Rattus norvegicus: one gene and its partner. The protein of the gene in region 1 interacts with the protein of each later gene in a biochemical or structural test. Links are inferred from orthologs where the notes say so. Each region holds a gene or a part of one and is shown on either strand. Other genes may lie near its edges. The genes, in order: Dlat and Pdk2.

The links.
Region 2: the proteins of Dlat (region 1) and Pdk2 form a complex in vitro, tested with the Homo sapiens proteins (2 studies listed by BioGRID). The link is inferred for Rattus norvegicus from reciprocal best matches to the Homo sapiens genes DLAT and PDK2.

What each region holds. Positions count from the first base shown.
Region 1 is NC_086026.1:59,894,113-59,897,938, reverse strand, and holds part of Dlat (dihydrolipoyllysine-residue acetyltransferase component of pyruvate dehydrogenase complex, mitochondrial), read left to right. Parts: intron 1-2,456; coding exon 2,457-2,583; intron 2,584-3,826.
Region 2 is NC_086028.1:80,468,627-80,471,463, forward strand, and holds the end of Pdk2 (pyruvate dehydrogenase kinase, isozyme 2), read right to left. Parts: intron 2,424-2,837; coding exon 2,310-2,423; intron 1,799-2,309; coding exon of another isoform or gene 1,789-1,798; coding exon 1,648-1,788; 3' UTR 765-1,647; downstream 1-764. UniProt on the Homo sapiens protein: Kinase that plays a key role in the regulation of glucose and fatty acid metabolism and homeostasis via phosphorylation of the pyruvate dehydrogenase subunits PDHA1 and PDHA2.

The DNA of each region.
Region 1 (3,826 bases):
GCTCTTCCACAGGTCCTGAGTTCAAATCCCAGCAACCACATGGTGGCTCACAACCATCTGTAATGAGAGCTGATGTCCTCTTCTGGTGTGTCTGAATAAATAAATAAATTAAAAAAAAAAAAAGATTTGACCTTTCCTTAACCCTATGAGAAGTTTTCTGGGTGAATCAGTTTCTCTCTGGAAATCATGCTCCATTTCTATTGCTAACAATCCCTTATGATGGCATTTTTCTTGGTCTTTAGCTTTCATGGTTATTTCTTTCAGTTCAGCAACCTTATTTTATTGCATAAGACCTCGTTTCTCCATTTTATCCTACTTTGTGTTGAAGTGTTAGAATTGGGCCCTAAGAATCCTTTGAGATGGTAAAGATACATAAATGAGTATATTTCTCCCCACCCCCCCACAGACACATACACACATATACACATACATACACACTCACACACATATACACACTCATACACACAGACTCACACACAGACTCACACACATACTCACACAGACTCACACATACACACACACATACACACTCACACACACACTTATACTTTCACTTACTCACTGGTGATTATGCAACAAAGAAAAGAAACTATGAACCGAAAATAATTTTTAAAGAATTTCTAAGTCTTGCAGGCGTGGTGGTTCACACCTTTAATCCCAGCACTCAAGCAGAAGCCAAACAAACAAAAAACAAACCAAACAAAAACAAACAAAAAACCAGAAAAGAATTTTCTGTCTTGTTTTATTTTTTTCCCCCACTTCTAGAAACAATTTTGACTGAAATGATTTTTTTCCTTACTATAAGGCTATTCCTATTTAAAAGACAAAGAAGATAGCAGATAACTGACAGCCACCCAAATTTAGTGGACACAATTATATAAATAGGAATGCAAGTAAAAACGTATATGTATCAGCTGGCCATGGTAGTACAGGCCTTTAATTCCAGCACACTGGAAGCAGAGGCATGCAGATCTCTGTGAGTTTGAGGACAGCCTGGTCTACAAATTGAGTTCCAAGACAGCCATGGCTGTTATACAGAGAAACCATGTCCAAAATACAAATTTTTTTATATGCATTTAGTGTGTGTGTGGGTACACTGCATTTATCTGTGTAGAGGTCATCGTGGGGGTAAGTCCTCTTCTGTGACCATAGTGCTATAAGGAGCAAAGACAGAGTTAGAGAGCAAGGCTTGTTGACTTCCCTATCTCAAGGAAATGAGGGAGATAGCACAGACTTCTGTACTGGACATTTATGTTATGTACACCTGTGCATATCACACACATACACACACACACACACACACACACACACACACACACACACACGTGCGCGCGCGCAGAGAGAGAGAGAGAGTGTTTTTTGTTTTTTTTTTAAAAAGTCTCAAAAAATATAATGTATTGTTCTTCTAGTCAGCTACTCTTCTACTATTGAACCTCATCCTTTGTTCCAGGAAGAGCTCTAATGTTCATTTTTAAAAATCGTGTGTGCACATGTGTGTCATGTGCATGCTGGTATTCCCAGAGGCAGGATTGGATTCACTGAAGCTGGAGTTACAGGTGGTTGGGAACTGACCCATGGAGACCCAAACTCAGGTCCTGTGCAAGAGCAAGTGTTCTTGAGCACTTAGCCCTCTCTCTAGCCCTTAATTTAATACACACACACACACACACACACACACACACACACACACACACACACTTATTAGGTGTGTGTGTGAAATAAGTGTGGTTTCTTATGGGTGAAAAGATGCTTATTGAAGAACACAACAAATTCAGCAGAGTGCTTTGTCTCCACCAAGATCATTCAACCTATGGGTCACGGCCCGTTCAGGGGCCAAACAACCCTTTCACATGGGTCACAATCAGATATTTGCATATCAGCTACTTACATTAGATTCATAACAGCAAAATTACAGTTATAAAGTAGCAACAAATCTATTTTTATGCCTGGGGGTAACCATATCATGAGAAACTATTAAAGGGTAGCAGCATTAGAAATTAAGAACCAGTGACCTGGTTGCAAAGATTGTGTGTGTGTGTGTGTGTGTGTGTGTGTGTGTGTGTGTGTGTGTAGGGGGGTTGTTTTGACCATATGAAAGAAATCTTTCCTGTCTCCCTGTAGCAGCATTAGAAATTAAGAACCAGTAACCTGGTTGCAAAGATACTGTGTGTGTGTGTGTGTGTGTGTGTGTGTGTGTGTGTGTGTGTGTGTGTGTGTGTGTGTGTGTGTGTGTAGGGGGGTTGTTTTGACCATATGAAAGAAATCTTTCCTGTCTCCCTGTTGCTTTTCACTTTGGAGGATAGAGGATGGGTTAGGGTGTCTGGTTCTGAAGGATGCTTTAATTGGGAAAAGGATTGACAAAGACTTGTGATGGGTGACAAGGTCTCACTGCACTGAATGCTTTTCTGTGTAGTGCTTTCTGGTTAAGCATTGATGAGTGGCATTTGTCTCTGCAGATTGTTCTTCCTGCCCTCTCCCCAACCATGACCATGGGCACCGTCCAGAGGTGGGAAAAGAAAGTGGGAGAGAAGCTGAGTGAAGGAGACTTGCTGGCAGAGATAGAGACCGACAAGGCCACCATAGGTGAGATTCTTCAGCTCTGGGTAGTTGAGGAGGAGGAGGATGGCCATCCTTTCCTGAACTGAGTGAGTGATAATGTGACGTTTACAGTCCTGAGATTTGCTGCCTGGAACATATTTTACAGCAAAGTCATCACAGCCACACATGTCAGTTCTGAGCTGTACTCATCGCTGGAGGATATGTCAGGGTCTATTCTTAGGCCCAGTTCGCTCTCATGGCTATATTTTTATGGTACTCAGAAGTTGTACCAGAACTGCCATTGTCTTAACATGGGAAAAGAAAGAGAGAGGAGGAAGAAAGTTACGCCCTCTAGGGCAGGAGAATACCAAAGCCTTTCAGGTAATTCTGAGAGAAAACAGTACCCAGGGTGTAGATGAGTCTCATAATCTGAAAGTGACAGGGATGTTGGTCTTCATGTGTATCACAGTTCCATGTGCCCCTTCATTGATTTATCCACTATGCAGTCATGTATCTGTGCTTGCGTCTATTGTAATCCTAGGTGTCATTAACTCCTTCCACTCTTCCATGGTTTCTAGAAGCAGAAGGCTTATCTATGCCATAGTGACAGAGCAGGACATCATCATCAGGCAGTAGTGGTCACAGACAGTGCTCTTCACCATTCTCTTGGTAGCCTAGGGCAAGTGCCAATCAAAGAGTAAGACCCCTTCTCACTAGCTTATTCTTTGACATACTGTACTTTTTAATAGTCTTTTTCTCCTCCTCTTCTTCCTCTTCCTCCTCCTCTTCTCTTCCTCTTCCTTCTCTTCCTCTCCTCTTCCTCATGCTCTGTCTCCTCTTCCTCCTCCTCTTCTTCCTCTTCTTCCTCTCTTTCCTCCTCTTCTTCTTCCTCCTCTTCCTCTTCCTCCTCCTCCTCCTCCTCCTCCTTTTTTCTTTGAGATGAGACTGAAGTTCAAGTGCTGGGATTACAGGCGTGTACTACTGTGCCTGATTCCCTCATAGCTATTAGAAGAAATGATTCTGCCTTAAAGGAAAAGCAAGGGCCAGCGCCATGGTTTGGTGTGGTCAAAGGTGCTTGTTGCCAAGCTTTAGATGTGCATTTCCTCTGCCCAGCTTCAACACATCTTCTCTTGAATATTTCCAGTTTGGAAGTGGAAGGAATCTTTAGAGATGTGTCTGTCCATCAAGAAGTACATAACTGCAGAGAGCAAGATTGGGGTGGTGGAACTTGCCCTTGTCAGTAGCTTGGTTTTGCCATTTTTAGTTGAATTAAATTAATTAGTAAGTT
Region 2 (2,837 bases), on another chromosome or scaffold:
GATGAAGAGGCATGATCTAAGGATGGTCTTTAGGCTGCCAGATTTAAAGGGTCTGTTGGCTTTCCAGGTGCCTCAGTAGGCCTACAGTGGACATACTGCTGGCTTAGGTTTGCTAGGCTACAGAGGGGGACTGGGCCAGTCCTGGATGGGACTGGCACGTGTCCTTTGTAGGATGTGTTCAGAGATAAGAGGGTCCAGGTGTCATGCTGACCCAGCTTCTTGGGTGCTGGTCAGTTACTACTGGGCCCAGGTTTCTGATGAGAAACCCCCACCCCTCCCAGTTTCCTGGAGGGGTGGACAGGACCTGCATGCTAACTCCCTCTCTCCTGCCTGGGAAAATGGCTGAAGGCCAGGGCCCTGTGTTTGGGCTCAGTCATCTGCACTGGGAGTGGGGCCTCAGAGGGAAACTAAGGTATAGGGGCATTGGTACTTCCTAGACTGGGTGGGGAGGGTGGAGGCCCGACTGTCCCTGAAGCCGTCAGGAGCCAAGTGTGCCCACCTGCATGTGAAGGGGGAAGATGGTTATCAACTTCTTTCAATAAATACTTACCACACACCAGTGATCTTTCTGTCTGGGACACGGGACTAAGCGATTCCTTGAGTGCCATTGGGCGATAGGGTGCCAGGTGTTGTGAGTGAGTGGATGGCCCAGCCTGGTGGCATGCTCTGCTCACCAGCTTGGCCAGATCCTGAGGAGTCAGTCCTCACAGGTGCTTTGTGTATGGACATCCCCTCCCCTCCGCAAGGAAGCCAGGCAGCAGTCACATTTCATCTATTTACTGTGGATGTCACTGTCACCATCCCAGCCACTGGGAGGGGCACACGGCTTTAACCCCTGTGTGCGGAGGGCAAGGGTGAGGCATCTGAGATTACAAAACTGGCTATGTACATGGGGCATCCTGGGTTTGAGTCGTCTGTGCACACATAGTGGGCATAGGAAGTCTGGGGTCTAAAGCTCAAGCAGGGATAGGGTGAGCGTAGACTGGGCAGGGGAGGTATACACGTGAGGACATGCCAGGCCAGGAAGCGGCAGAAACATTGCTAAGATCGCCTTGGGGACAGGTTACTCTTAGGCCTTCTCGGTGGGCCTTGGGTGAGAACGGCCACCCATTCTCAAGTTCCCAGTGGCAACTTTAGTGTCCAGAGTGGAGATGGAGAGAGGCTGCAGGACCAGAGACAAGGTTGGCCCCCGTTTCCCCAGTCTCTCTCCATCTTTCTTACTACTGACGAAGAAACCAGCCCAATGTGCCTGTACAGGGTGTGGGCATAAGGCAAGCGAGGCAGCCACGTGGGAGACCAGGACTATGCAGGCAGTGAGGGGGACCCAGGGTTTCTGGTAGAAAACAGACAGCTCTGGTCTTGGGAGAAGTGTCTCTGGGGCACCCCACCAGGTAGAGCCGTCCCCAACCCTCAAGCATCATCACCATGGAGACCAGGCTCCAGGGAAACCCCCTAGGTTTCTCCATAGAGACAGATTGGCACTTAGGGATCGCCACAGATGGGCCACTGCGATTTCTACAAAGACAGATCTGGCCATCGGGGAGACCCAGTTTCACCCCCGTACCCCAGGGGATAGATAGGGAAGTCCCTGTGGTGGCTGGATTCAGAGGTGGCAGCATCCTCCCAGGTGCCAGGAAGAGAAGGCCCCTAGCTGACCCGATACGTCGATGTGTTCTTGGGCTCTGTGCTGGGCACGCACCAGTCACCGGCCTCCTGGATGGTCTGGTAGTGGCGCCAGGCAGACTTGTTGTAGACAGGCAGGCGCTCCACTGAGTCCGTGGACAGGGCCTAGAGAGCACTGCCATCAGCCTCCTGCTTGCCCAGGCCCTGCTTACTGCCCTTCAGTCACCCAGGCCCTGATGGTCTCCATCCCCGGAGTCGTAACTCAAGTCTAAGCCCCATAATCAGACATTATCTGAGACACTGCCCCAGGCCCAGAAAATCCCCTAAAAGGGTCTGAGCCTTCTGTGTCTTGCCCTGGCCCATTCCATGAAGCCGTCCCCTCAAAGGTCAGGGAGGTAAAAAGGATCAAGGGGAGGAGGCTGGGTTGTGTGACCCCTATTAACACCAAGGCACACTTCCTCTCAACTGAAGTTCAAGATCTGTAAGGTCCCCCATCCTTCTAGCCCATGGCTCCTCAGAAGAAGGGGCCTTCCTCGTAGACCTTGGACCCCCTGAAGTTGCCCACCATATTAGTTTAAAGTTACAGCACTCGAGGAGCCAAGGCTCAGCTATGAGTCTGGGGCCAGGAAGGATGAGGGATGGGTAGAGACCTGCTAGCAGCAAGTTTGCCCCCTGGCGGGCCTCACCTTCAGATAGATGACAGCATCTGTCCCAAAGCCCTCCATAGAGAAGAGCTGCAAGTCCCCCTGGAAGTACTTGGCGTAGAGGCGGGAAATGGGGAGTCCATACCCAAAGCCAGCCTACAGAGGGGCCACAGGTCATACAGTGAGTCAGGGATGCTGGACTGAGGACAGGCAGGGGTGGAGAAGGGACATCTCCGAAGCAGATGGGAGTAGGTGGAAGGCAGGGGGACTGCAGAGGAAGCAGGGAGAGACAGGAGAGGTCTACCCAGAGGTCTGGGTGGTTAAAAGCTCCTTAGAGTCCATTCCCTAAGCTCAGGACCGCCTGTTTCACAGGAGCAGGGACAGAGGTGACAGCAACTAGCAATGATGTGGAGAACGAGGAGAGAGGACTGAAGACACATGACAGCTCAGCAGATGGGCAGATGATCAGCAGGCGGGGGGGCTATTAGCAAGCGGGGAGATGGGTGGCCATAGAGTCGAAACAGGAGACTGTTGTCACACAGCCATGTGGGGTGGGGGGTAGTATGCTTG